Diceros bicornis minor: one gene and its partners. The protein of the gene in region 1 purifies or fractionates together with the protein of each later gene. This does not show direct contact. Links are inferred from orthologs where the notes say so. Each region holds a gene or a part of one and is shown on either strand. Other genes may lie near its edges. The genes, in order: FUS, HNRNPM, CTR9 and SNRNP200.

The links.
Region 2: the proteins of FUS (region 1) and HNRNPM purify together in Homo sapiens (affinity purification with mass spectrometry; 4 studies listed by BioGRID and IntAct, with this or other methods). This does not show direct contact. The link is inferred for Diceros bicornis minor from reciprocal best matches to the Homo sapiens genes FUS and HNRNPM.
Region 3: the proteins of FUS (region 1) and CTR9 purify together in Homo sapiens (affinity purification with mass spectrometry; 3 studies listed by BioGRID and IntAct, with this or other methods). This does not show direct contact. The link is inferred for Diceros bicornis minor from reciprocal best matches to the Homo sapiens genes FUS and CTR9.
Region 4: the proteins of FUS (region 1) and SNRNP200 purify together in Homo sapiens (affinity purification with mass spectrometry; 3 studies listed by BioGRID and IntAct, with this or other methods). This does not show direct contact. The link is inferred for Diceros bicornis minor from reciprocal best matches to the Homo sapiens genes FUS and SNRNP200.

What each region holds. Positions count from the first base shown.
Region 1 is NC_080765.1:20,888,117-20,895,802, reverse strand, and holds the start of FUS (RNA-binding protein FUS), read left to right. Parts: upstream 1-4,685; 5' UTR 4,686-4,752; coding exon 4,753-4,765; intron 4,766-6,383; coding exon 6,384-6,408; intron 6,409-6,497; coding exon 6,498-6,652; intron 6,653-7,405; coding exon 7,406-7,550; intron 7,551-7,686. UniProt on the Homo sapiens protein: DNA/RNA-binding protein that plays a role in various cellular processes such as transcription regulation, RNA splicing, RNA transport, DNA repair and damage response. Binds to ssRNA containing the consensus sequence 5'-AGGUAA-3'.
Region 2 is NW_026691615.1:283,843-291,368, reverse strand, and holds the start of HNRNPM (heterogeneous nuclear ribonucleoprotein M), read left to right. Parts: upstream 1-4,515; 5' UTR 4,516-4,536; coding exon 4,537-4,649; intron 4,650-7,526. Other genes in the region: E3 ubiquitin-protein ligase MARCHF2, read left to right, coding at 756-914. UniProt on the Homo sapiens protein: Pre-mRNA binding protein in vivo, binds avidly to poly(G) and poly(U) RNA homopolymers in vitro. Involved in splicing.
Region 3 is NC_080746.1:69,242,679-69,250,361, forward strand, and holds the start of CTR9 (RNA polymerase-associated protein CTR9 homolog), read left to right. Parts: upstream 1-4,665; 5' UTR 4,666-4,790; coding exon 4,791-4,835; intron 4,836-6,051; coding exon 6,052-6,150; intron 6,151-7,683. UniProt on the Homo sapiens protein: Component of the PAF1 complex (PAF1C) which has multiple functions during transcription by RNA polymerase II and is implicated in regulation of development and maintenance of embryonic stem cell pluripotency.
Region 4 is NC_080779.1:16,207,425-16,214,308, forward strand, and holds the start of SNRNP200 (U5 small nuclear ribonucleoprotein 200 kDa helicase), read left to right. Parts: upstream 1-3,880; 5' UTR 3,881-3,960; coding exon 3,961-4,005; intron 4,006-4,535; coding exon 4,536-4,699; intron 4,700-6,089; coding exon 6,090-6,261; intron 6,262-6,884. UniProt on the Homo sapiens protein: Catalyzes the ATP-dependent unwinding of U4/U6 RNA duplices, an essential step in the assembly of a catalytically active spliceosome. Plays a role in pre-mRNA splicing as a core component of precatalytic, catalytic and postcatalytic spliceosomal complexes.

The DNA of each region.
Region 1 (7,686 bases):
GCCATGCTGTGCCAGGCGTCCCACATATAAAATAGAGGAAGATGGGCACAGATGTTAGCTCAGGGCCAATCTTCCTCAGGAAAAAGAGGATTAGCAATGGATGTTAGCTCAGGGCTAATCTTCCTCACCAAAAAAAAAAAAAAAAAGGAATTAACTGGCCCCAAATGCCAAAAGTGCTGAGATTGAGAAACCTTGCTGTATAATAATTAAGTCAACCAGACCCTCTCTTGATGGGCACTTAGGCAGTTTCTAATGTTTTGATATATAGGCAGTGCTGCAATGGCAATGATCCACTTTAGATAGTTTAAGCAGAAAGGGATTATGATAGGTGGTTACCAAATTTCTGAGATGGTCAAGAGTCAAGCTTGGATGCTTCCCAGCCAGTAATACATACCAGGCCAAGGGTCCAACAACACCTTGGTACTTTCTTTCTTTCTTTGTTTTTTTGTGATGAAGACCAGCCTGGAGCCAACATCCATGCCAATCCTCCTCTTTTTGCTGAGGAAGACTGGCTCTGAGCTAACATCTATTGCCAATCCTCCTCCTTTTTTTCCCCGAAGCCCCAGTAGACAGCTGCATGTCACAGTTGCACATCCCTCCAGCTGCTGTATGTGGGATGCAGCCCCAGCATGGCCGGACAAGCAGTGCGTCGGCGCGCGCCCGGGTTCGGTAGCGGAGCGCGCGCACTTAACCACCAAGCCATGGGGCGGGCCCTTGGTACTTTTCTAATGGAAATTCCAGTGCTGTTGCCTCAGTCCATTGATGTTAATGATACTAAGGATGTTATAACCTCCACCAAAGTTACCCATGAAGAACCAAAGGCTTGGGCTGCTATGCTGGCCAGAACATGTGAATTTTCCACCAATAGTTGCTGCCTCCAATCTCATGTAATGCATCTGCTTGACAAAATTGGGCTGGAGATGATCCAGAGACAGGCCTGGAACTCAGGAGGGTCATGGCTGGGTGTACGCATCCAGGAGCTGAAGGCATGATGTGGATGAGATTAGACTGTCTAGAGTCTTTAACCTGGAGTCCCCACTAGGGGTCTGAGGATAGCAGTCAGGGGGTCACAGATTTGGACAGGGAAACATTACATGGCAATTTTCACTAACTGCCAATTGACATCTAGCATTTTTCTCAATATGATGACTGTAGGCAATAAATCACAACAGTTTCTGGGTCTTGGTCACTGACAGAAATCTTAGAAATTGTACCACATTGCACTTGTTGTAGGTACCTGAAAACATTTTTTTATTCCACTCTACTTCAAAATTAAGATAGCTATGGAAAAAAGGAAAAAAAAAACTATTAGAAAACAGAAAAAAATTAAGATAGTTATTACACTATCAGATCTGTGTACTGGATCACAAAGATCTTTTTAAGAAATAGTTGATAACTATTTCCATTGGATTTCTTTGTATTCTTACAAAGTTTGTTTTATGCATTTACAAATATTATTCTAAGAAGGGGTCCACATTATCATTAAACTCTGATACAAAAAGAGGTTAAGGATCCATGATCTGGGAACAGATCACAAATCTGAATGCCTTCAAGGGCCAGCTGGAGGCCTGAAAACCAGGGCCTGCTTTGTTTTCCTACATTTGAAGACAAGAAATATTTTCTCTTGCTTTTAACTCGAAGAAAAACTGCATTCAACTCCTGATATAAATGACAATCGACACTCTCCCACTAGAGAAACATTAGGGAGTGAGGGAGACTGTGGCAAGCTGCAAGCACATGCCCCAGCAGCCTCCTGCTCCAGCTGACCCCTGCCCTCTGGAAAAGTAGGCCCAGGGTGGCCAGAGCCTCTAATTTTCAAGAAAAGCCAGAAGTTTGGATTTTTCCCCTATATTTAGTATTGGCAACTAGTTAATTAAAAACAACGTGCTGGCTACACAAAACCTGTCTGCAGGCTGCATCTTACACCAGGTCATAGTTGGGGCTTTGGGTCTTGAGGGAGAAGCGAAGAAGGCTGAAGACAGAACTCTGGAGGGCCCTGCTGTCTGTAGGGTGAGCAGAGGAGGACACTGCAGGGGAAGGAGACAGAGGGACAGTGGGAAAGGTGCGAGGGCTGGGAGCAGGGATGTCAAGTAAGGAGACTTTTAAGGTGAAGTGAGAGGTCCCTGTGTGATGTGACTCAGGAGAGGTCCACTGAGAGAGATAAGCCTGGAGAAACGGTCACTTGATGAGGTCACAGTATAAACCTGTCACTCCCTGCACTCTGCCCATGAGTGCCTTTCCCTACCCCTGCCTTTGTCTTTGCCATTCCTTCCACCTGTTACACCTTCCCTCTCTCACCACTTGGTGAACTATTACTTATCCTGCAAGGGCTGCTTCAGTGTCACCATCTCTCCTTCCTCTTCTGTGGTTGTCTACTTAATGGATGACTTGCTCTCCTCACAGAGTTCCCAGATTCCTTGATTCCATGTCACAGCACTCACCACATTTGATTCAAACATACTTTGGGGTCCGTGTGTCTCACTCACATCTCATCCACTGGCTATAAGGTCCTGCGGTTCAGGGACTGGATCTTTTTTATCCTCCTCTCTCTACGTCTGCCCCATGCTTGGCACACACTATGCAGTGCTCAAGCAATGTTTGCTGAAGCACAGGGGTCAAGAGCAGGAACTCTGAGCCAGGCTGCCTGGGTTGGGACTCTGGCTTTGCTGCTTTCTGTGTAGCCCTGGGGATAGCTTATGATCTTTCTGTGCCTATTGTAAGTTATGATCAAAGACTCAGAACACTGCTTTATACTTAGTAAGCCTTATCAAAGTGTTAAGCTATTATAAATGTGTTATATATAACATATAAATATCATTATTAAGTGTTAGTTTTGGGGGCCGGCCCGGTGGCGCAGTGGTTAAGTGCACGTGATCTGCTTTGGCGGCCCGGGGTTCCCAGGTTCGGATTCCGGGCATGCACCGACGCACTGCTTGTCAAACCATGCTGTGGCGGCGTCCCATATAAAGTAGACGAAGATGGGCACGAATGTTGGCCCAGGGCCAGTCTTCCTCAGCACAAAAAGAGGAGGATTGGCATCGGATGTTAGCTCAGGGGTAATCTTCCTCACACACACACACAAAAAGTTAGCTTTGTTATTAAGTTCCTTCAGATGTCTGTTTTGCACACTAATGCATCCTCAGTGCCCAGAACAGTGCCTGGTACACTACAGGTGCTTAATAAATATTTGTAGAATGAATGAATGAAGGAATGATGGACTTCCCTTTGCCCTCACTCCACAGTCACACTGCCCTCCCAATGAGGGTGGGGCGAGTGACAGGGTATTCAAGGGCCATCAGGGGTTTAGTAGAAGTTTGTGGGCAGGCCTAGGGCCTAGACCTTAATTGTTTCTCTAGGAAAACATGTCAAACCTACAAAGGAACTACTGGAACCGAGGTCAAAGTTAAGTTGGGAAAGAAAATCTGCATGGCATGTGTACCAGGAATAACCTCCTTTGTCTTGTTTTATTCAATACTCTCAAATTGCCTTCTCCAGGCAAGGCTGATTAGACTGCAAGTTGCAAGTTAATTTGAACTCCACTTTTTGTCCTCGCTCTCACAGGGAGTGAACAGGCTTCAGAACACTGCCAGGTGTTCATATAACCAACAAAAGGAGTGTTTTGCAGCCACACAGACCTGGATTCGAATCAGATCTGACCCTCAGCTGCTCTATAATCATGGGTTGCACTTGGCCTCTCTGAGTCTCACTTCTCTTATCTATAAAAGAGATACATTTCCTTTCCTTAAAAGATTGTGATGGGAAAGCAATTAATTATGCATTTTGAAACCACTTAAGCCATATGCAAATAGTTATTACTGGATCTCCATATTGGTTCCTTGGTAGTGCTTTAGAACAATAAAAAGTAGCTCCTTATCTGTAAAAGGCTAGGAGACCCCTAACCTAATCTCAACGCTCTCTGAGGTCCAGAGGGCCTGGGCTTTCCCCTTCCATCGCCAGTCAGGGTCAAAGTCACGAGGGTTTGGGAGGGCGATCAGTGCTGGGCCAGACGAGGATCCAGGGATCTGGGCTAAACTCCATGCTTTCTTTCAGGTCAGACGTCACGATTTACAAACCCTGGTATGGACTAAGGAAATGAGACCCTGAAAGACTATGAAGTGAAAACCAAGGCCCAGGGAGAGAGAGAGAGAGAGAGGGTCGGTGTGTGTTGTCGGGGGAGGAACTTTAGAGCCAGAAAGGGAGCTTGGCGGCCGGAAGGACGACACGTCCTGTGTACTGCGAGGGCAACGGAGCGCAGGATCTCGCCATCCGGAGTGAAAGTGGGGCCCAGTGAAAGGGTCCAGCCAGAGGAATTTCGGTTCCCGCCTGGCGCCTCCCAGCTTTGACTACAGTTGGGTCCGCAGACGCCCTGGGCCCCTCGCCCCGCCCCCAGAGGGTAATGAGACCGTACCATTATGCCTTTATAGGGGTAGAGGTGAATAGCAGGCTAGTCCTGCAGAGTGAATCCCAGTTCTTTATCAGAGAAAACATGATTTTATATATTATTTTCATGATTCTCAGTTAATATGTTTCCCTTCTGCCTGCTCAGACCCTGTATACTCCCTGAAGAGTGGTAGGACTCCAGCCATGCTTCCCCCTTTTCCTAGCCGCACTTGGTGCATTCCTCCGCGGTACGTAGGCGGGAGGCGTACATAAACCTCGACGCAGGAGGCGGGGCTGGTCAGTCCTCGAGGCGTCGGTGCTCCGTGGTGTTGGAATCTTGTTGCTTGTTGGCCTGTGCGCGCGTGCGCGGACATGGCCTCAAACGGTATGTAAAGGCACGAGGCGGCGGTGGCGCGCCGGCCCGGGGCCTCGTTCTCTCCCAGCTGGGCTTTTGTTTTTCGGTGGGACCCGGGCAGTGATCGCGTGTAGGGTCTTCTCGCACCACGGTGGCGGGAAGCAACAGAGAGGGGTGGAAAGGGGAGGCTGATGTCGCCATTTTGTTTCGCTCCTCCGGCGCCTTGCGCGGGGCAGGAGGTCTTGCCTTCGCAGTGCCTTTACTGGAGGTGAGGGTCGAGAGGGACGCTTCTGGGTGATTTGATACGTGAGACACGGACGGAAATGCTCCGTCCCCGTAGCCGTTTTTTCCCTTCGGTCCTAGCCCGGCGTTCGGGCCCGCTTTGTCGCAGTGCTGCATCCGGGCACTCGGTGCGCGCACGCGCTCTGCTGGCCCCTCCCCCCTTTCTCGCGGCCCGAACTCCCTCCCGCCTCGTGTTGGCGCTGCTTTTTGTCGCGAGACCCTCCGCTGGCGACTCTGCGCTGCGCGTCCGGTGTGGGCCTCGCCCGCCGGGGTCCCTCGGGAAGGGGCGGGACCGCCGGGTTCCCGCCTCGGTTGCCACGCGGCCGCGGGCGGAGGCTCGGGATCGGGGCCGCGCGCCCGCTTAACGGCTGTGGGGGCGTCTAACGGGGTTGGGGACTCGGCCCGAGGATTTTCCCGCCTAAATTTCCTCTTTCTGAGGTGGGAACCGAAAGAACGGCTGCCCGAGGCCACACCCTCTCCCGGTCCTCTGGCCCTTTCCTGCGGGGGAAGCGCCTGGTTTCCTGTACTCAGGGGATGCGTTGATCTGGTTAGTGCGTCCTCAGTGTGGCGTTTTAAAAGCACTCCCGCTGCATTTGGTTTGCTGTCTCCTCACAGCTCCGAGGAAGGCAGGGTAGATGAGGAGAGGGGATTGGAGCCGCAGGGCTGAGGACTCGAGGACCAGTTAACTGCTGCCTCCTGGGGCGAGCACTTTGATGATTTGTCATTTGTGGTCCGAGGGCTCTTTTCTCTTGGTTACCTGGCTTTGCACTGAAAGCCCACTTTGCCGCTTTTCAAGATTAGGCAGAGGGTGAAGAAGTTTGAGACATTCTGTTCTTTGGGTCTCGATTGCGAGAGTGGAGGCCACATTTCGAACACTGCTGCCTCCAGCTTGAGTTAAAACCTGTCCCACTTAAGTAGCTCTGGGACTTTAGCTTGATTCTTGGTGATACTTTCTTCATAGAGTGGGTGTGAAACTGAAATGTGTGTGAATTTGTGCCATTCCTGACATCAGTTGAGTTTGCAGAAAATTGTAGATGTCCACCAAGATTCTTGTTTTTTTCCAGTAGTAGTTAAGGCCTCTTGGTGTCTGCAGAAATTTGCTTTTTCTTTGACTCTTTTTCAGAGTCAAGTACGAAAACTTGACTCTGATCTGCCAGCTTGCCCCTCCTCTCAACTAGTGTTTCAGGAGAGAATTTCTGCCCTTCTTGCAACATGGTCTTGTTGGTTGATTTCTTACCTGGAGGCCCCAGGGCTTAAATTGAGGAATTTTGCCCTATTGTTTTTTCAGGGATGGCTGAAGGTAATGTAATTGTATTATTGTTGCTTTCTTTTTTTGAAAAAAATAATTGTATTTTTCTTTTTGCAGATTATACCCAACAAGCAACCCAAAGGTGAGAGTCATTTCTGGGCTTTCGGGGTTTGTAGAGGTCAAGGGTGGCTAGGGTATCTTTTCCTAATTACACTGTTTCTGTTTCTTCAGCTATGGGGCCTACCCCACCCAGCCTGGGCAAGGCTACTCCCAGCAGAGCAGTCAGCCCTATGGACAGCAGAGTTACAGTGGTTACGGTCAGTCAGCAGACACTTCAGGCTATGGCCAGAGCAGCTATGGTTCTTCTTATGGACAGACCCAGAACAGTGAGTCTCTTTTAGTGGGTCACCCCCCCCCTTCCTTCTCCTCCTGAATGTTGCTTTTCTTAAACCTGAGCAATGCTGAAATGTTGGAACTGTCCTGTGTTTCTTTTCCCTTAACTGGTCTGTAACTCTTAAAACTCTTTGGAGTCTGAGTCCTTTCAAACAAAAATGCATACTGGTTTGTAATTCTCTTTATTTTCTTGAGTCCTTATTTTTCTTTTAATGCTGCCCTTTTCCCCATTTCCCTTTAGCGTGAAAGTGAAACGTGGGGGAGAGTATTCCCTAAGGGGAGAAAGTTTTAGATTTTTGGTGCTTACAGGGAGAAAATGATTTGCTTGAAGATGTTTGAAGTCACACTACCAAATATCATGTGATACACAAGGAGGTGGAATTTGCCCTGAGGTCTTGCAGTGTAAATAATGTGGGTTCTATGTGTACTGCACACATCTGAGCAGGTTAAAATGCTGTTAATGAGTAGGGATCTTTTGGGCTGTGATTAGTCGTGCGTGGTCCTGGAGACTCGCTTTGGGGTGGGTATGGTGAGATCGGAAGTCCAAAGTTGATAGAAGTTGGAACATTAGCCTTAGGTAGAAGAGAAGGGTAACTTTATGAATTGCAAGATTCTAAGCAGCTTCTGAGAGGCGAACTTTTCAAGTATGGGTAGCATTAGATAGTAAATAATATTTTCTTCAACCCATTCCCTGCCTTTTCTCTTTCTACATAGCTTTTGTGGTTTCCTTTCTCTTTTCCTTATAGCAGGCTATGGAACTCAGTCAGCTCCCCAAGGATATGGCTCAGCTGGTGGCTATGGTAGTAGCCAGAGTTCTCAGTCGTCTTACGGGCAGCAGTCCTCCTACCCTGGCTATGGCCAGCAACCGGCTCCTAGCAGCACCTCGGGAAGGTAAGGAGTTGTGGGGAGAGGCCTGAAAGATTAAGGGTGAATTGATAAGGAATGATAATGTGACCAGCAATAGGAGCAATCATGAGGAGTAATGGGGAGGGGGGTGGTCTTTCTTGGGTACAGACAATGGGACGTA
Region 2 (7,526 bases), on another chromosome or scaffold:
ATGAACCTACATGGACACGTCATCATCACCCAGAGTCCACAGTTGACATGAGGGGTCATTCTTGGTGCTGTACATTCTATGGGTTTGGACAAGTGTGTAATGACATGTGTCCACCATTATAGTATCATACAGAGCGGTTTCACTGTACTAAAAATCTTTGGCTCTCTGCCTATTTATCCCTCCCTCCCCCAGCCCCTGGCAGCCACCAATTTTTTTACTGTCTCCATAGTTCTGCCTTTTCCAGAATGTCACAGGGTTGGAATCATCCATTACGTAGCCTTTTCAGAGCAGCTTCTTTCACTTAGTGATATGCATTTAAGCTTCCTCCATGCCTTTTCATGGCTTGAGAGCTCATTTCTCCTTAGCACTGACTAATATTCCACTGTCTGGGTGTCCCTCAGTTTATTTATCCATTCGCCGACTGAAGGACATCTTGGTGGCTTCCACGTATTGGCAATGATGTGACCCATTGACAATGAGCCCCTTCTGAGGGGCTGCGTTGCTTCACTCCCGCCCTCTGAGAGACAGAAAGGGGGTCCCTTGCTCCCTGCTGTAGACCCCCTCACCTTTGCAGGGCCCCGAGTGCTGGTGGGAGCTGCCCCAGGACAGTGATGGGTGCGTGTGCACAGTCTGTATGAGAAGGGCCTGGACGTTGGCTCTGCTTCTGGAAGCATCCAGGGGCCCAGTTTTCCTCTCTTGGGGGTGGAGGTCGGCCGGCTGGCCTTCGCACCCACCCCTGTGCTGCTGCCCCGCAGGTCTCCTTCCGCTACCATTGCCAACTGTACTCCGAGTGGAGAAGGACCAACCAGAAAGTGCGCCTGAAGATCCAGGATGTGGATGGCCCCGAGGGCCCCCAGCCCTCCCTGCTGGCAGCCGGACTCCTGAAGAAGGTGGCAGAGGAGACGCCTGTGTGAAGGCCAGGCTGGCAGGGCCAGCGGCAGCTGGCGATGCCCTGGCGTTTGGAGGGACGGAAACTGCCCGACTCTTCCTGCACGGCCAGAACGCTTTTTAGGCCAAGAGACACCGAGCAGAGCCGATTCTGTGATCCCGTGTGAAGATACTTTCAGACTGTTTTGCACACGGTTGTACCCGAGGAGGTGGACGTGGTCCTGAGCTTCGGACGGATCAGGCACCCTGATCTCATTCTGAGGTCCACTCGGCCCCTCCGGGGCCAGCAGCTGTGGCCATGGGCGAGCCGAGGGTGTCCATCGGGCCGGAAGGTTCCACAAGCTTCTTGCGCTTCTCCACACCTGGCAGGCTCGCTTTCCCGGCACCCTTGACTTCATCAAGTTGCACCGTGTTTCAAAAACCCACCCCGAATGAATAAAAGGAGCCCTTGCTGGACAAAACGGACTTGTCAGTTACGTTTCTGAACCAAGGCCTCAAGTGAGGGACCTGGGACCCCAGGGCAGCCGGGGACCACAAACAGGTGAAAAAAACAACAACAGAGGCCCTCTGCTGGTTTTGAGGGATCTGTTATGAAACACACCGGAAGAAGCAAAGTCTGAGTTTTCAAGTGAAAAGCAGGTAGCAGGGTTATATAATAAATGGTTTAAAATCGCTATGCATAAGGAGAACAGTTTCCACTTACTTTGCATCTCCAGATGCCACGCTGGTGTACTTACTAATCACTAACGTCCACACTTCTCGAGGGTTCCTCAGTTCTGAGCCTGCACAGGCATCCTCTCTCTGCCTTTTAGACCATCCTTGAGGGGAGGAATGGCTGCTGCCTCCATTTTACGGATGAGAAGACTGGGGCCCAGAGCAAGGAAGCCTCTGTCTAAGGTTGCACAGCTCTAGGAAGGAGAGTTGGGGTTGACCTTGGGTCTTCGTGGGCCTAGTGCTGAGCTCTAAGCTTGCCTTCCAGGAGGACTCAGGAAAAGCAGCAGAATATGGTTGTGCTAATAACCACATGTACTTCTTGAGCACTTTCTGAGCTTTTCACGTGGAAGGGTTCTCTGCATTGGGCCGCATTTCATACTCAGAGCAGCCCTGAAAGGTGGGTTCTGGACTTCTCTTATTAATCCCATTTGCACATAAGCAAACTGAGGCTCAGAGCAGTGGGGTCGCTCACCCAAGATCACACCTCCCTGACGGACCTAGCACAGTGTCTGGAATGTTCTATTGTTTTCAGCATGAAGCCCTGTCTGGTATGTGGTTCACCCACGGAGTAAAAAAACCCTTTCCACCCCAGCGTAGAAGGGCCAGAGGCAGCCAGCCTGGCCACGGGAATGGAGGGAACAGTAAAGGGCACAGGCCTGGAGGCTGGAACTTGTGTGGCCTGTAGGAGGAGCAGTGTGGCAGACGTGATTGCTGGAGCAGCGAGACTGAGGGGCAGGAGAGAGGCAGTTAGAAAGACGAGCAGGGCTTTGTAGGCATCTGGGGTCTGCAGAAACCCAGGACCTTATCCAAGCGCAATCGCTCTGCTGGCGCTCAGGGGCCCTTCTGGCATCTGCATCTTCTCTCTCTACACAGGCCCAGCACCCACCTCTCTCAGGCCAATTTTGGATTGTGGTGCCCCTGGAGGTGATGCAAAGAGGCCCCAGGACATGCCATTGTGAAAAGAGCTGTTTCCTTTGCAAATCTCTTCTAATACTTTCAATTACATCAAGGAGAAAGTTGTAGGTTGGGCTAGACTGTCTTAAATGACCCTTAACCTAAGGGAGGAGAGAACAAGCCTCAGGCTCAGAGCCTTTGGCAGCATGCACAACTGAATTCACACTTGAATAGCATCATCTTCTTATTTATTTTTTACAGTTAGCTGTTTATAGCAAGTTTTCATATACTCAATTTACATATATTTGCATATATTTACATGCAATGTAAAACACAATATTAAAACATGCGTCTTTAAAGGATAAGAAGGTGTGTCAGTTAAAGGAAAATGTGAAGTGTGAAGGAAATAACAGTTCAAGAGATAGCAGAACCCAGGATCTGGGCACTGTTGGTTTAAGTCAACCAGCCTGTAGGAGCCTAGCCTGGAAGAGTTGGTCTCCACAACCAGGGCCTGATTGTCCCTGACCTCCTGTCACACCCACCGAGGGAGGAGGGATCAGAGAGAGAGGTGGCTTCTTGTCCCTAACGCTTTGCATTGGGACTCCTCCCTGATTCTGACAGACTGCCGTGGCCTCTTCCGCCACTTCTGAGCCCTGCTGGGCGAGGGAATTCAGAAGTTCATGAGGCTCCTTCTGCCTCAGGGCCCCTCCAGTCTAGGAGAGGTCTAACGGGGAGGAAGGTAAACTGAGACAGATTCCATTGGGGCCATGGGAGAAGATTTTAATAGGTATGCAAGGGCGATTTTAACAGAGATTTCAGGAGGGGGCATGGGAGGAGGGAGGGGCTTGACGATGGGCGAGAGAAGGGAATTCTGGGAGGCAGGTGAGTTTGGGAAGAGCTGGAAATGTGGGAACGGAGCTGGAAAGAGGGTGGGGCACAGCCTTCATGTCAGGCTGGACTACGGGATGGATTTATTCTCTGGGCCTGGAGTTCTCAACCCTGGGTCAGAATCACCAGGCAGAATGAAGCAGCTGGGAGAGTGTGGTGAATATTCCCCCAGAGCCTGATGAAATGTAGTCATTCTTTGAGGGGTGGGGGGGGGGTACCTCTTTCCCTTTGTAAGCCTAGAGCGAGTTTGGTGGTTAGATGGGAACTTCTGCAAGATTCGGTGAAGCATTTCAAAGTTCCAGAGACATCAGAGAGAGGGGCTGCTGCTGGGGAAGGGAGCCTGAGGCCTCAGAACGCGCCCCTGGGCTCTGGCCTCTTTCCAGGCCACGTGGCTGCCCCAGGACACAGCCTGTAACAGTCCTTAAAACCAGTCTGGGGACAGAGCCAAGCCCTTAGGCAAAGGGACCCAGCCAGGATCAGGCAGGAAGGAGGCCCAGTTAAGTTTTAATGGGATCAGTTGGCCTGTAGCTCGTTTCTTCCATCGTGTTTGGATCTTGCTGCTTCATTCACTCAAGAAACATCCGTGAGCGCATACCAAGACCCCAGCGATGCGTTTTGCTTGTTGGTTGATGGGTTCAGAGGCCATGGGATCTGCACCCAGGAGGTCCCGGGGTGGTGGGGAGCCAGGTCGGACAGAGCCCAGATATTCCTGGTGCAGGATACTTGCTTAGAGAGACAGAATTTTGCACACCAGTTCCACTGCCTGGCCCGTCCGCGTCCTGCCCTCCTGCCTGGCTAACTCCTTTATATTCTTAGTAAACAGAACTTTCTGCCCCTCTGCCGCAGCTCTGATTACCGAAAACTGGGAGTGACGAGGTCCGGGTGTGGGGTCAGTAGATCCTTCCCGTGCCAAACCTCAAGAACCGGTGGAGTATTCAGAAGGCGCCCAACACGAGTTTGTTGCGGGGATGAATGGATAACAGCGGCCGGTCTGCGCCTGCGCGCGACGGGGGCGTGGCCCGGGGCGGGCGGGGACCAGGCGGGAGCAGGCCGCGGCGCGCGCAGGCGTTACTGGTCGCGCCGGGTCACGTGAGTGCGCAGGCGCAGTGCTGCGCAGCCGGCTCCCTCACACAAAGCCCAGACGCGGAGAAAATGGCGGCAGGGGTCGAAGCGGCGGCCGAGGTGGCGGCGACAGAGCCCAAAATGGAGGAGGAGAGCGGCGCGCCCGGCGTGCCGAGCGGCAACGGGGCTCCGGGCCCGAAGGGGTGAGTATCCCACGGCTCCGCGTCCCGGGCCGGCCGCCTTCGCGGCGGCGCCGTTAGGTCTGTTGGAGGCCTCCCCCCGGCGCGGCCTCAGCCCGGGCCTTTCCCGCGGGGCCTGCCCGGGGTGGGGGCGGCCGGGGCCGCCGAGGGGCCCGGGGGCGCCGCAAGGCTCGCTCCCTCCGTCCTCCTCGGCCCTGGCCCAGCTCCGCGGGTCCCTCCAGGCCGGGTCCGAGCCCCACGCCGAGGCCTCGGGCCCGGCCTCTGCGCTCGGGGCTGATGGCACGGGCCCCGGAGCCGGAGAGGCCCGACGCCCCGGGCCGCTGGCCTGTCGGGTGACCTTGGGCGCGTGGTTTCACCCCCCGCCCCCCGTATCGCCCGGGGCCTCAGTTTCCCGCCCCGTAAACTGGGGGGAAGGGAAGGGAAGCGAGGGCGCGCGCGGGGCCTCGCGCGTGCTCGGCCCGGTAAACGGCGGCGGAGGCGGGTGGGAGCCGGGCAGGACCGCGAGGCCGGCCGGAGCGCCCCCGCGTCCCCTCCCCTCCCCCGCCCCGCCCGGCCCGGCCGGAACCGCTCCACGCCGGGGCCGCGCGCGAGGCCCCCGCCGGCTCCCCAGGTGCGCGGGAGGTGTCTGTGCAGGGATCGGACCTGCGCTCCCCCAAACAAAGAGGAGGAGAAAAAAAGCAGAGAAACAGCATTTTCCGTGTTCCCGGGGGAGATTTTCCATCCTCAGGCGGGCTCGCCCACTTCCAGGCTCCGTCACCATTTCGAGCCTTGCTTGGGCCTCCGTCTCTGCTCCTTGGCTGTTCAAGTGTCCTCAAAGCTTTAGAGCATCGTCTTGTGTCCGCACTCGTTCTGATGACAGTCACCTGGAAGGAAGATGCGGAGGGACGTTTGGGCTCCCACCGGCACCCGTGGGGGGAGGAGAGGGGGAGGCTGGGCACACGTGATTTCCCACTAATTTTTTTTTTTTAATTGTGGTAACGTATGTGGAACATAACATTTACAGTTTTAAAACCATTTTTAAGGGTACGGTTCAGCGGCATTAAGTGCGTTCAGTGTTGTGCGACCATCACCCCTGTCCATGTCCAGAACTTTTTCATCATCTCAGACTGCAGCCATTAAACAGTAACTTCCGATTTCCCCCTGTCACCAGCTCCTGGATACTTCTGTTATTCGTTATGTCTCTTATGAATATGCTTTCCCACAAATTTCTAATGTGCATCCCTAGAGTTTGTGGGGATTAGAAGTGAATGTAGTTAAAGCGCTTTATGTTACCGAGCTTTCGCTAGGTGACTAGCTGTGTTGTTGTCAAACCTTCTCTCCTTAGGTGGGGAGGAACAAAATACCATGATTCCTGGTCCTCGGAAATCAAAAGAATGGCATCCCAGAAGTATTCCCAGCACTTGACTCTCGAAAACTCTGGAAAAGGATGCCTTCGTTTAGACTTTTTTCATCATCTGTCTAGGGGAGCCTAGGAGGATTTCTGAGGGCCGTTTTTGGATGCCTTTAAGTTACATTTATTTCCTGTATTTTTTCTTTCAAAGCAGTTATCACAGGATGGAGTGCTGCTAAAACGTGCTAGGTGAGAAGTTGAATTAGCTATAGTTTGTAGCATCTGGGGTATGTTTTTCAAATTTCCCATTTTCCACTGTCCATTTTCAAATAGTCATTTTGTGACGGGTTTATTTGACAAATGTGACACGTGGACCGTTAGAAAGAACCTGAAGGTTTTAGAGATAAAATAGCTCTTGTTGGAAAGAACCTTAGAGTCTAGGGCTGCTTAACAGAAGTTCTTTCAGGAAGCTAGCAACACTTAGATGTATTTCATAGGGTCGGTGGAAACTTTGTGTATTTTTTTTTTTTTTGCATTAGGAAGCTCTTGAGAATCAAGCCCATGCCCAGAGGAGAGGCCAGCTGATAATTTTGTAGTGAGGTAATTATGCTGTGATAGAAGTAAAGGAGTTACCTGGTAGGGAGCAGCTCCCCTCCCCACAACTGAACCCCCTGGGGGCAGGGTGGGGAAGAGGGGGTTTCTTCAGGAGGAGGGGGATGAAAGAGGATGATTGTGGAGAGGGGAGAAGAGAGCTGCCCACGACTAGGGACTTTGGTATATGCTTTGCATATTTATAGAGAACTGATGCTGCTGTAGCACTTAACGCTGGAACAGTGAGGGCCAACGCTGAAACAGTGGGGGCCGGGGGCCGGCTGGTGGGCAGTGGATTCCAGGCTGAGGAATTTAGATTTTTATCTTGAAAGCCTCTGAGGGATGGAAAGTGAGTGAAACTTGGTTCTTCTGACCTTTGTCTCCACCAGGAGTGGAGTGTGCTGTAAGCTGAAAAGGCAGTGAGCCTGCAGGCTTGATGGAGGACCCCAGAGAGGAAGCTTGTTTTGCAGTGACTTTTCTCCGGGGTGTGAGAGGAGGATTTGTTTTATTTTGATGAGAAATCTGTTCCATTTAAAGTCAGTCAAGATTCAGAGTTAGAGTATATTTAGTCAGGGAGAAAAAGCATTCATTCTGGGGAATATATAGTTTCAGGTTTGATTTTTTTTTTTTTTTAAAGGTTGAACCATATACTTAAAATCAGTGATGTAACCTACTTCCAAACTAATCTTGTGGCTGAATCAGAAAACAGAGATGGATTAGTTAGTTTAAAAATAAAAATTTATATTTAGTGTAGGTTGCCGGGGAGGTAATGTTAGTGTTAACTCTGTTTTATAACTGAGAAATTTTTTTTTTAAACAATTGAGAAAAGTCAGGTTAAGGAAATTGACCCAGAGTCTGGGGGAGGCTGTGTTGACTCCACTGCCACCCTGGTAACCTCTCACTAAACAGTCACTTGAAGTGTTTTATTTAAATCAGAATCTCTGTGCTTTGCAATGATT
Region 3 (7,683 bases), on another chromosome or scaffold:
AAGACTTATTGACAGGTGCTGTGAAGGGCTGAATTGTGTCCTCTCAAAATTCATATATTGTAGTCCTAACCACCAGTACCACAGAATGTGACTGTATTTAGGGATAGAATCTTAAAAGAGGTGATTAAGTTAAAATGAGGTCATTAGGGTGGGTCCTAATCCAATATGACTGGTATCCTCACAAGAGGAAATTAGAACACAGACACACACTGAGGGAAGACCACGTGAAGACATAGGGAGAAGAGGGCCGTCTGCAAGCTGAGGAAAGAGGTCTCGGAAGAAACCAACTCTGCTAACACCTTGATCTCAGACTTCGAGCCTCCAGACTTGCGAGAAAATAAATTTCTGTTGTTTAAGCCACCCAGTCTGTGGTACTTTGTTATGGTTGCCCTGGCTTATTGATACAGCTTCCTACTTTTTCTTAATAATGTATACAAACTACTTAAAACACTTCCCTTTGCTCCTGATAAAAGATATCTAATTTAACATCTCAAATATTCTTTGTTAAAATTAAATATTCTTTATTCAATTTTAATAATTAGCATATTTTATCAACATATAAAATAGTTCATTCTTCAGTGAGCTAAATGTATGTATTTATCAACTCTATGACTGACCACAATATCAACAACAGAAAAGTAAAGAATCTTGGCTATCTATTTTGAATACACACTTAAAATCCACACTGACCAGGGGCCTGCCCCGTGGCTTAGTGGTTAAGTGTGCGCGCTCCGCTGCTGGCAGCCCCGGTTCGGATCCCGGGCGCACACAGACGCACCGCTTCTCCGGCCATGCTGAGGCCGCGTCCCACATACAGCAACTAGAAGGATGTGCAGCTATGACATACAACTATCTACTGGGGGCTTTGGGGTGAAAATAAATAAATAAAAATAAATCTTAAAAAAAAAAAAATCCACACTGACCAAATACACACTCACTGCTTTACGTTGATCTGGTGCACTCCGACCCAACATGGAGCAGGGCATTTTGTGAACAGACATTGCACACTCGTGCCAGCTGAAATAAAATCTTTGTGCTGCAAAACTGGATCTACAGCTTAAAAATGTCTGATTTAATCAGTATCTACTGGAGTCAGGGGAAAACAAAAAACTGCCTGTGTCGAGAGTTGCACTTTAAGTCCCAATTGTTGCCAGGTGATTTTCTCTCCGACCCGTCCTCTGATTCCTTGCAGACTCTCTTCCCTGCCTGCCTGCTGTGTGCTAGAATTCCTCAGAACTTGGTCCTGGCCCTTCTCTTGTCACTCTATGCTCTCTCTAGAGTCTCTCATCTGATCCCACAGTTTTAAATTTCATCTATATGCCGGCGGCTCTCAGACTTATTTCTCCAGCTCAGAAACTGTCTTCCGAGCTCCAGATCTGTATGTCTGACTGCCTGTCTGATATCTGTCTCAGAGATACCAGAGACAGGGCAAACAACACATCTGAAAACCCAGCTCACGACCTACCCTTGCCCGAATGTTCTTCTCCACTAGTCATTCCTATCTTGGAAAATGACACTTCATTCACACAGTTGTTCACGCAAAACCTGGAAGTTCTTCTAGACACTACTTTTTCAATGCTGCCCATATTTAATGCATTAGCGAGCCCTAGTGATTAAGATTATATATATATATATTTAAGGTAGTGGAGGTGGAGACATATTCTACATATCCCTATATATTCTATATACTCTATATCTATATAGATATTCTGTATATCTCTCCAGTAGTTTCCTAAGTGGTCTGCCCACATCCTCTCAAACACTGCCCAATCTATTCTCCACAATGTAGCCAGAACAATCTTTTAAAACCACAAAACCAATTCTCTCTCTCTCTCACATACACATACTCATTGATACATACACGTCAGCTCAAACTTCTCAGTTTCATTGCACCTAAGATAAAATCCAAACTCCTCAACACATCCTGTGTCAAAAGAAGTCTCAGAGACAAAAGCATTTAGAAAAATAGTTTCCTTAGAAAAACACTTGCAGGGGCTGGCCCGGTGGCCTAGTGGTTAAGTTCACTCGTTCCGCTTCGGCAGCCTGAGGTTTGCCTGTTCAGATCCTGGGCGTGGACCTACTAACCTCTCATCAAGCCATGCTGAGGCAGCATCCCACATAGAAGAACTAGAAGAATCTACAACAAGGATATACAACTATGTACTGGCGCTTTAGGGAGAAAAAAGAAAAAGAGGAAGATTGGCAACAGATATTAGCTCAGGGCCAAGCCTCCTCCTCAAAAAAAAAAAACCTTGCAAAAGTTTATAAGTGAATTTAGGCTTTAAAAGAACTAGTTCATCAAACACACAACTCGAAGTTATAAGGTTTATAGTTAGTTGGTTCATGATGGAAAAAGAGAAATTTTCTTCTATGATTGCCATATTCCCCCAAATTATTGCATATCTTCAAACTCATAAAAGTCAGCGATTAAATTGTTTTTGTTAGGGAGTCAGTAATGTGGGAAATGCTGAAGGTTTCATTCACTTTGGAGACTATAGCTGATGTGACACTGTTCTTTTTTGGTTTACCTCAGTGCGTGAAGTGTTTTGTTTTTCCTTTAACTGTGGAATGCGATGTGTACACTTACTCATTTTGGAAGCAGGGTAAGGTGCCAGTTTTGCTTTACATGGATAAATCTGGGCATGATTTGACTACTTATGTCTTCAGCCTCAACTCATGCTATTCTCCTCCTCATTTTTTACGTTCCAGCCACACGGCCTTCTTTCAGGTTCACAAAGCTTTTCCTCAGTGTGCTATCCCCTCAGTCTGGTAGACACTCCCTATAGCCTTTATCTAGCCAAATTTTACTCATCTTCCAAGTTTCAACTTAAGTGTCATTTCCTCCAAATCCCAGTCTAAATTGGGTCCTCCTATTATTCAATCACAGTGTTCTGCATTAACAGTTAGGATGCCTTTGGCTGCCGGTAACTGAACGACTAATTCACATGTATCGCTAGGGTCTTTAAGGCCAGGGAGGCTCTGGGCATGAGAGTAACACTTAGCATGATGTGTACTTTTGTTTAATGCTCACTTATAAACCTTAAAACGTATTAAAGAGTATTTCCTGGAAATACAGTGCTGTGCTGTCCAATACAGTATCCACTAAATACTTGAGGTTATTGAGCACTTGAAATATGGCTAATGCAACTGAGGAATTGAATTTTAAATTTTATTTAAATTAATTTAAAATTTAAGACCAATAGTTCAGTTATTGGAAAACTTTTACGTGTGTTTGGAAAAATCCAAGTATGTGAATCTATTTTTTCAACTGTAAGTTTTCTGAAATCTAAATAGAGATCCTAGAGTATGTCCAATTAAAATTAAGCAACTGAATTAAGTATGTAAGCAGAAAGTACATACTAGATTTCCAAGACAAAGTATGAAAAAAATGTAAATTCTCTCAATTTTCATATTGATTACATGTTGAAATACTTTGGATATATTGGGTTAAACAAAATATAATACTAAAATTAATTTCATCTACTTTTTACTTTTTTAATGCAGCTACTACAAAATTTTAAATTAGGCAACTAGCATTATGTTTGTATTGGACGGCAAAGCGCCCAACGTTGAAATAGTTACACAACTAAGTTTCCACTTATAGGGTTTTGAAGAAGGTGGGAGGAAAGGCAACATCAAATTGGTACTTTTTAAAGGTGAGTGTGTAACATGTTGAAGCCAAGTTGGAGTTTGGGGCCAGAGTGGATGATGTATTGAGTAAAACAGGAGGCTGTTGCAGTAATCCAGGCAGGAAAGAACGATGTTGGCTTGGGATAGAATGGAGGTGGTGGAGATGAAGAGAAGGAATACATCTGAGAGACACTTAGAGGTAAAACTGACACTGTTTACAAATTTATTTAATCAGATCCTCCTCTGATTCAATCAAAACATTGATTGCAAACTAATTTAATTGTATTCTGTAATTTAATGAAAACAGTAATTAAAACGTATTTAATCAAATTCTATAATTTAACCAAAACATTGATTACAGGTTTAATCAAATTCTTCAACAATTTTGTTAAAATCACAAATCTAGCAGATTCTCACATGCTTCAAAGAAAAAAATAAAACCACACAAAATACATGACCTATCACAATGATTACAGAATTCATAGTAACGTTTATTTAAACGGATCACAAAAGTAGCACAGGTATGATTCGCACACAACAGCTGCTAAACAGGAACCAATGATTGGGTTGAAGAACGATTGGATTATCCGCAGCAATCTTGACAAGAAGACCAGATTGGCCAGCCCACCCCGAGAGGCCAGGTCCGGGCTCGGGGGCGGAGTCGGGCTCGGAGGAGAGGACTGCCGGAATTGGCCAGAGGCCCCACGTCAGTCCGTGGCCAGCCCCGAACCCGCGCCTCATTCGTCGCCCCGTCCCCCTCAGAGCGGGGCGGCCCGCCTTCGGCGCATTTATTCCGGACCGCGCCGGTGCCGGGCTCAGATCCAGAAGCCGCAGGCCCACGGAGCGGTAGACACGCCAACGAAAGCCTCGGAGCCGTCATCCCCAAGACAGAGAAACACCAGAGCCGAGCCGGAGCCCGCAGGCCCCCAGCGGGGAGTACTTCCGGGGCAGGGGGCGGGGCTGCCGGAAGTGGCCGGACGGCGAAGGCTGCTCGTTGTTTAAGCGGCTGACGGAAAGGAGAAGCCGGAGCTCCGGCGGCGCCGCGGGGCCGCAGTCGCCACCGGAGCCCGAGCGGCTGGCAGCGTCTGGAGGAGCCAGAAGCCAGGAGGACCGGCTGCGGAGCGGCGGGGCGAGACACCCGCTCGTCCTCTGGTCTCATCATGTCGCGGGGCTCCATCGAGATTCCCCTCCGGGACACTGACGAGGTGAGTGTCGAGTATGGGGGAGGGCAGGGGCCGTGAACTTGGACGATCTCCTCCTCCCCTTTCTCTCGACTTCGTCTCCGAAGCGGGCGCACCCTCTGCCCGCGGAGTCCGGATCGAAATCTCCGGCCGAAGCTCTGATCGCCTCCTTCCCCAGCCCCTGTGCCCTCCCCGGCTGGGAGCACCGCCTCCCCGCAGCCTCGGGGCACCTCGAGAAGGAGTTCTTGAAAGTTCTCCTCCAGCCTGTTCGTATCTGACAGTAGTCTGCGCTTTCCTGATTCGCGGGCGCAGGGGTGTGAGAGTGCTGGATAACTGTAAAGCACCTCGCAGGTCGCAGAGGTGGGCGCTGATGTCACCGTGGGCTCTCTGCTGCTCTGTCTTTCCCTGGGAATATATAGGATGTCGCCCTTTCTCCCTTAAAAACTCGAGTCTGTCATGCACAGGGTCTGCCACACAAGGCCCCATCAGCGGCATAGAGACCCCAAGATCTGGCCGCTGCTGTGTGCTGATAAAATGAGCCCCCCTCTCCCTGCCCGCCACCTCGTTCATGGTGGCCTGAGGCTTGTCCGAGTAAAGCTCTGAACATTGATGTATTGCTGCTGGATGTCTCATACTCTTATTTTTGTTTGATTGAGATATAATATTGAGATATAATTCACTTGCCGTAAAATCCAGTGGTCTTTAGTAATATTCACAAAGTTGTGTAACCATCACCACTGTCTAATTCCAGAACATTTTCTTACTATTATCTTTGTGCCCACATTTAGGAGTGTCTGTGATACACAAATGCTGCCTCCATGATTCATGTATGCAGTGCCATTCAACTTTGCATTGCTGCTAGGATGGTGCTTCTCAAGTTGTCAGACCTAGCCTCCGAGTCTCTGGGGTGCTTATCTGCACTTTACCTGCATTATATGTTAAGCAGGGTTTTGTTATGTTGTGTTTGAGTAAGCAGAGCTTTTGCAGTGTTTTATAGTTCTAGTGATTCGAGGACAACTAGCAGGATTTGTTTGCTTCTGTGTGCTTTTATTTTAGTAATGCCACATAACCTATTTGTCGTTTGCTCCTTAAACGTTTCTTAACATATTCTTGCTCAGCCGGGTTGAAAGTGAATACAAACCCTGCACGTATCTGTAGTGATGTATAGTCAAGAAAAGCAGCAAAGAAGAAATGTGAATTTAAAAAAGAACTAAGTTAAAACCTACATTTTGTGTTTTAGGTCATTGAACTTGACTTCGATCAGTTACCGGAGGGAGATGAAGTTATCAGTATTCTGAAACAGGAACATACACAGCTGCACATATGGATTGCTTTGGCGGTCAGTGTCCATATAACAAATGTTTTTATATGTTGACTGGGAAAAATATGTGGTTTCTGTTTTCAGATACGCTACTGGCCACCTGGGGTGCATGATAAGTAAATTAATTGTACCATGTGTATGGAAGTTAATTGTATCACTGTTTATGGAATGAAAAGGCCAGTTTCCTAAATGATGTGCTACTCCACTGGTAAATTAGTAGATGTTGGTAAAGGCAAAATTCATTTAAGTTAAATACTATATTGAGTATTTGATTATTTAGTGACTACTCAGTGAGGACTGGCTTATGGTTTATAGATAAGCTGAGAAAAAACAAGGTGCCACGATGTAAACATTGCCACTTGACATTGTTTCCTATGACAATAAAACATTTCCCGTAAAATACTCTAGAAGGTGATTAGGTTCCACGATAACCCACAGAAGTGCTTCTGGATGAAGTTTATCGCGAGATTAAGTTTTTTTTGTCCTGTTTGGTCCCTTCCGTAACATAAACACTACTAGAGATTCCCAGGAAAAGCACCTCAGAGAGCCTAAAATTCTAACACCCTCCACCATCCCCAGCACCAGCTGTGTAATGATGTTTCCTTTTTATGGGAACATTATAGTAAATGCTTGCAGTAGTATATGGTACTATAATCATTATTCCTAAGCAAGTGTACCACAGGTCACTTCCATGGAAGGATACATAGGAGGCTCCTAGTATTGTCTTGAAGGGTCAGAGAAGTAGGCCTGAAATTGGGCTAGTATCCAGTGCTCAAGCCCAACTCGAAGAGTTTCTTAGATGTGGATTTGCAGAAAAGTACTGTCAGTGACAAGCAGTGCCTTCCTGACTTGAAGTGCTAAGTTTTCCTAATCTATGGGGAACAAGCCATTCATGCTTGTCACACATTTTTTTCAAACCAGAAGAGAACTTAGATTTTTTTTTAGTACAAGTGCCTCCTTTGGTAGCACTTATATGAAAATTGGAGTATTGGAGGATTAGCATGGCACCTGTGGTAAAATAAATTGATGAAACATGAGGGCTATAGATTGTTACAGAGGAAAGAGTGTAGACTTTGCAATTCAAGAGGCCTTTTCTCAAATTCCAACTTGGCTGCTAGCTGTGTGACCTTAGACAAATGATCTGCCTTCTGAGCCTGTTTCCTCATCTAAATAGAGGGGTGTTAGTATTCACTTCAAGGGTGGTTGTACAGATTAGAGATAATGTATATGAAGTTCCTGGCATAGTATGTGGCCCATAGTAGGTGGTTAATAAATGATAGATATTTCTTTGATTGTTAATAAATGAAACTGATGTCCAGGGAAGTTATTCCACAGGCCCAAAGTCATAGATAATTTTTGATACATCTAGAACCCAAGTTTTCTGTTCAGAATTATTTATACCTCTCATTATTGCTTTCTCTCTCTTGAGCTCTGATTTAGTTTGAAATTAATTATTATCTGGGTAAGAAGTAAGCTAGAAACATTTGTAAGTGATTATAATTATTTTTAACAACTTTATTAGATAAAATTCACCTATAATGAACTGGTACG
Region 4 (6,884 bases), on another chromosome or scaffold:
CCTAACCTCTAGCTCCACCTCCTGCAATAGCCTCCCAGCCACACTCCCTGTGTCTGGTTCTGTTCCCCACCCCCTTCCATCTTACACAGCACTGTGAAAATCACCTTCCTGAAGCCCACCTCTGTGAGGAAGCCCCTGTACAGGGTCTGGAATGGGATGGCCTGGCTTTGAGGCTGGTGAGGCCAGGCAAGTCAGTTATCTTCCCTGCCCCCTCCTCACTGCCCATTTTCCCTACGTAATGCCTCAAGATTCTGTAATCCTTGAAGATGGGTTTTTGAGACATTAGTCACCCGTCTTCCAATTTGCCGGCTAATCTAATCTAATTTGACTTCCTTTCTCCATCTCTAACTTGTTGTGATTAATTGGCTCAGACTGCAGCTAGCAGAGCAATCCCGTTGCTTGGTAACAATAGGGCTTTATGAGGATTAAATAAAATAATGTATGCTAAGGTGGTAGCTTGCAAATGCTTGCCACATGATAAACAGTCAGTTTTTGCTTAATCTAAATGTTGGTCCCTCTAATCAAATACCTGCTGTAAAGCTGCAACAAACAAGCAAAACCCTCCAAACCAGACACCTGCTGTGGCTTCTTATTGTCTCCTAGGATAAAGTAAAAACTCTTTACAATGGCATTATTTTTTCAAGAGATTCTAAACATATCTATCCAAATTATATCACGTTGTTCCATTCCTACCATTTGCCCTGCACTCAGCTGAACTGAGCTCTTAACAGTTCCTGGGACATGCTTCTGTCTTCCCACCTTCATGCTTTTGCTTTTTCTGTATCCCCCTGAAATCTCCCCCACCCTCTGCCTCTACTGAAATCCTAGCCAGCCTTTACATTACACCTGCAAAGCCTCACCTGGTCTCCTGAGTCAGCAGTGACTTCTCTGATCTCCACAGTGCCCCCTTGTGGCACTGACAGCATTCTGCTTTTTAATAGCAGTTATTTGTATGTTTCATTTCTCCTGCAAGACTGTAACTTCTCAGGGGTTCTAATTGGGTCTTGTTTCTCTCTGACTCTCTAAAATTGCTCACTGAGTTTAGTGCACATATAAATATTTGAGAGGTAACTAAATGAAGTGACAGGTGTTAAGGTACAGAAATTCAGGGTCCAGGAGCCTGAGTAACCCTGGGTCCAGGTCTGGGGCTAGGGAGGACTGAATTCTGAAGGTCATCTTTTGGAGAGAGGCAGCGCAAGGGGGCACACGTAGACCGGAACAAAGCTAAAGCTGAGCCCAACTTGGTAGGTAACTAAAGTTCCCCCAGGGATCTGTGCCTGTCAGGGTGCTCCCAGGTCCTTCCCCTTCCTGGGGATAATTCTGTTTAAAAATTTTTTTAATAACTTTACTGAGATATAATTTACGTACCATACAATTCTTCCATTTAAAATGTACAGTTCAATGATTTTTTTTTTTTTTTTGCTGAGGAAGACTGGCCCTGGGCTAACATCCGTGCCCATCTTCCTCCACTTTATATGGGATGCCGCCACAGAATGGCTTGACAAGCGGTGCATCGATGCGCGCCCAGGATCCAAACCCCGGGCCGCCGCAGCAGAGCACACGCACTTAAACACTACGCCACCGGGCCGCCCAGGGAATTTTCCTTTTTTCCCTGCTTCACAGATTTGCCCACGGCCCAGGCTTGACTGTGAACACGAGTACCACTCCTACAGAACTGCAGAGCAGAAATCCCTTTTGTGTCTGGTGGGTGAACCACAGCATGGCCACGGAATGAAAGTCAGTCTTGAGGGTTCAGATTTAAATAAGCTTCAGTGAGCCCCACCTTGAATTAGACACTTCATTGGTGCTTTTAAACACACCACCACATTTAATCACAACAGTCCTATGAGGAAAATCTTATTGCCTCAATTTTAAGGATGACAGAATGACGCTCAGCCAGAGAGACCAATGAGCTACCTCAAAGTCACACAGTCACTGAGGAGCAGAGCTGCCACAAGGACTTGACTGCCCCTTGAAGGCCCAGTTAGATATACAACAACACAGTCAGGGCTGCAAACGCCACGCCTACAGGGGCCAGGCAGGTAACACCAAGGAGTGAAGGGGCCTGGTATCAGAAAATAGGAGCAGTGGCAGGGGCATGTGTATCCTCTAAGAGTGGCAGTTTCTGATTAGCACGGAGCAAGTACGCCAGGTAGTAATGAGGTTCTCATGTGGCCAGTGTTCTGATTTCTCCATAGATGCTGGAAATCTAGATGTTGAGTGAACCATCCCATTTTTAAATAAGGAGCCAAGCTGGAACAAAAATAAATAAATAAAAAACACCCCTGCAGGTCAAATTTGGCCCAGGAGACTGCTATTGAGGATGAATTCTTTGGCTTAATAACCAACCTCCCTTTCATTCAACTTTCAAAAGCAAACAGGCTATTAATAAGGTAACCATTCAGCTTTTAGTTGCCATTCCACAGGCGAAAAGTGGTTGACTGGGGTTGGCCCGGTGGCCTAATGGTTCAGTTTGCTGGCACTCTGCTTCGGTGGCTTGGGGTTCACCGGTTCAGATCCTGGGCGTGGACCTATGCACTGCTCATCAAGTTGTGCTGTGGCAGCGTCCCACATACAAAATGGAGGAAGATTGGCACAGATGTTAGCTCAGAGCCAATCTTCTTCACAAAAAAAAAAAAAGGTTGATTGGAGTGGGAGGGCAGGGGTGCCTCCTGGCCCCAGGGCTCTGTCGCTGGGGAAGAAATTAAGTCACTATCAATTAAGTCACTGTCTTCAAGAAGTTGGGCCTGCCAGAAGGGTGGCTACCTTCACCAAAGTTCCTGGGGCCATGGAGGGGGCCGTGAATGTGGCAAGACCTTGGGAGCAAATAGGGGGCCCCGGCCGTCCCAAAACAAGGGTCTTGAAAGCATGCGCTTTAGGTGGGACAGGTAGGGGACAGAGTTTTCTTTAAATTGTTAAATATATGAGAAACCCACAGGAAGATACCAGTCATTCTTGCTCTCTCTCTCTCTCTCTCACACACACACACACAGTTAAAGCACTTGCTGGTGCTTTGCTTTCCTCATCCAGAAATGGGGCTAATCAGCCCCTCCTTGCCTGCGTAGCTCACCGTTAGTAGAGTCAGAGGAAGAAGTGGGTAGAAAAGCGCTCGGGATAGAATAGGGGGCTAAGTAGGCCTATGGTTCATTGTGACAAGAGATTTTCACATATCGAGGTATATGGGGTTAACTTTGGGTTCAAAACTGATTTGGCTGGAACCAAAGAAGCCTGACTTGTGGCCTATCACACACACTTTGTACATCTGCTTTAAGCTTTAAAGAACGCACTCTCACGATAACAATGCGTACTTCCCCTCCCAGGCCCTGGTAACGCAGGTGTTACAGGTGTTAGTCCCTTTCCTGACATCAGGGTCCTGTCCACCCGCTACTTTGCAACTGACTTCTTTGAAACTTTGATAAATATGTACCCTTGGGGTTGTTTAATGTATGTTCTTTGTCTCAAAACGTACTGAAAACCATGCTTGTCCAGGACGCTTTCTTCCTTTGTAGAAAAGGCCTCCTGGGGTTATCATCCTCACGCTGGCTCAAGTAAAACTCCCCTTACTTCTCCTATACATAATAAGGTTATTGGCTATTTTGCATTGACAGTTACGATGTGACTATGCTCCCGGGGGCCAAAGTGCCCAGCGTGGCCAGAAACACACTGACACGATGCGGGGGGGTGGGGGTGCGCGGTCGGCTGCCCCAGGATTCAGGGACCTTGGTGCGACAGCCCCGCCGACCCCGCTCAGAAGGCCGCGGGGAACTGTCGCGCGCTCGCTGAGACACGCCCCGCCCACACTTCCGGCGCGCGACCCGGAAGCGGAAGGGAGCCCGTTTTTTCCCTCCTTCCGGTGCGTGTGTGCTGCGTCCGTCCGGCCCGGCAGGAGCGTAGAGCCGGAGCGGTTTGTAGCGTGCGGCGGGGAGAGTGGAGCTCTGAGACCCCGGAGCAGCCGCCGCCATGGCGGATGTGACCGCCCGTAGCCTGCAGTACGAGTACAAGGCGGTGCGTGTGGGCTCGGGGAGGACTCCGGTTAGGGAGCCCAGCGGGCAGCGGGAGGCTGAGGGAGTCTCAGTCTGAAGGCCTACAGGAGAACCGCCAAAGCGGAGGGGAAATCAGATCGGGCCGAAGCGGGGGTACACGAGGTGGGGGTGTATGAGTAACCCCGCCGGGGTCTGGGGCGGGCGGGATGGGCTAAGAGCTCTGCTAGCAGTGTTTGTTCCCTGTCCCCTCAGCCTTATACCCGCCCACTTCCACACGTCACCCCCAACATGCTCGCCGCTTTTCCCAGCTATGGGTTGTTATGGGCAGTGTTAGCAGCGAGGATCGTTCAGCTGATTTGACTGCCCTTTGCTCATGCGCGATTATACGATGCTATTTCTTCTTAAGGAAGACATCTTTTTATTCCGGCTAGTGATTATCAGCACTTAGTGGCTCCGATTCTTGCTTCTTTTGTTATCATCAGCTGGCATCCTTGTGATGTGTGAATTGTCCCTGCTTATGTCAGAGCTTCGATAATCTTGTGATCTTTTCAGAACTCGAATCTTGTCCTCCAAGCTGACCGCTCTCTCATTGACCGGACCCGCCGGGATGAACCCACAGGAGAGGTGCTGTCCCTGGTGGGGAAGCTGGAGGGCACCCGGATGGGAGATAAGGCTCAACGGACCAAACCACAGATGCAGGAGGAAAGAAGAGCCAAGTGAGTACCAAGGGGAAAATGACTCTTCTTCAGATCCAAAGTCCATCTTCCCTTGAGCATTTGAGCAGTGTTTTGCTTGGTGCAAGAGGAGACATCAGTGGCATTAAAACAACTGAGTAAAGGTACAAACAGAACATGAGATTTAAAAGGTTCTTTGGCTTTATCAAGCGTACCTAAAGTGGAAAACAACTTTTAGACCTTTTTCTAACATGTGTTTCTGGTCCACAGAGACATCTTAATTTTCTTCCCGATATTTTCAAGACCCTTGCTGTTCCTTTGTCTCAGTAACTCTTTTTTTCTTCAATTACTAATTTCCCACCCCTACTTCTTTCCTCTCCTGTTATCCACTTTCTACTTTTGTTATTAAACTGACATTAAAGCATCCATAGCGTGAATGACAGGTGGGTTTTTTTGTTTGCTTTTTTTAACTTTTTGGGAGATTTATTTCAAAACTTAATTTTTGAACTTTATCTCACCATTATCTTTTGATTCTGATCATCTCTGTGTCTTCCTCCTTTCCCATGATGAAGTCTCAAAAATTTGTAGGCACAATTTTGATTAAAGTAGTTATGTTTGAAATGAGTTAATACATCATTTGTTGTCCACTTTGCAGAGTATGACTTCTTTTCCAGTTTTGTTATAATTTGTTGGGAATCAATGGTAGTAGATTCCTTTGGAGCTTCAGTTTCTCTGGCTAGAAAATGTGTCAAGAGTGAAAAACTAATCAAAATCCGATTGTATAATATTGTCATATGAAGTAAAAAGAGTTGTCTTTTTTATTTTTATTTTGTTTATTTATTTATTTTTAATTTTTATTTATTTATTTTTTACCCCAAAGCCCCAGTAGATAGTTGTATGTCATAGCTGCACAGCCTTCTAGTTGCTGTATGTGGGACGCGGCCTCAGCATGGCCGGAGAAGCGGTGTGTCGGTGTGCGCCTGGGATCCGAACCCGGGTCGCCAGCAGCGGAGCGCACGCACTTAACCACCAAGCCACGGGGCTGGCCCTACTTATTTTTTTTTTATTGAGGTAACATTGGTAAGGGTTGTCTTTTTTATTTTTATTTTGTTTGTTATTTATTTTTTTTATTGAGGTAACATTGGTAAGGGTTGTCTTTTTTAAATGAATGAGGAAGATGTCTCATTGTAATGTATAGTGCATCTAGTGAGAGAATGACAGAGGATTCCCTTTCTGTTACTGTGTTTCCATTAAAAAATACTCCTGCTAGTGACTAAGGCCAAAGGGAGTTATTTGCTGAGGTACAGATTCATGTTTTTAAATGCTACCTGTGTGCCATGAAGCTGAGAAGAAGAGGAGAATGGGCTTGATTTCGTCTTACCTTTGGGACAGAAGGTTCTGTCTGTTCAACATCACACTATGTGTCCATTAGGCGAAGAAAGCGTGATGAGGACCGTCATGACATCAACAAGATGAAGGGTTATACTCTGCTCTCGGAGGGCATTGATGAGATGGTGGGCATCATCTATAAGCCCAAGACTAAAGAGACCCGAGAGACCTATGAGGTGCTGCTCAGTTTCATCCAGGCTGCCCTCGGGGACCAGGTGAGACAGCCAGAGGGTGAAACCACGTTTTTGGAGAGGGAGAGAGTCACAACTGGGAGGCACCGGAAGAGCCTTGTCTGTGGATTTTCCTGTGTGAGCCATACCCATTTGCAGAAGTGGCTGTTTACTGAGCACTTAACTTTATGTGGGGTAGAGCTTTGTGTGTCTCCTCTCTTTCAGTCTTCACATCAGCTCTGTGACTAGGTGCTATTAATATTCATTTTCTGTTTTACAGAAGAAAAATGTGAGGCAAAGAATAGTTAAGTAATTTTCCCAAGTCACAGACGTAGTATTTGGCAGAGCTGGGATGTGAGCCCAGGTAGTCTGTACCCAGAATCTGTGCTCTTAACCATTATACATGTGTAATTAGATTAAGGACCTTTATGAATCTCTGAGAGGCTCTGGTGAGGGGGATGCTAGAGGAGGTGAGGACAAAGAATTGCCAAAAGTTGACAGACTAGAAGAAGACTGCGGAGTGTCTCTACCACCTGGAGAAATGTGGCCGACTGTTGTGGAAGCTGTGTCCTTCTGCTTCCTAAGACCACCTACCTAGTCTTTTTTAAAACAGAAGGCTCGTTCTTCAATGGTGTGACTCTTGGTGGCATTTTTTATTAACATGAATG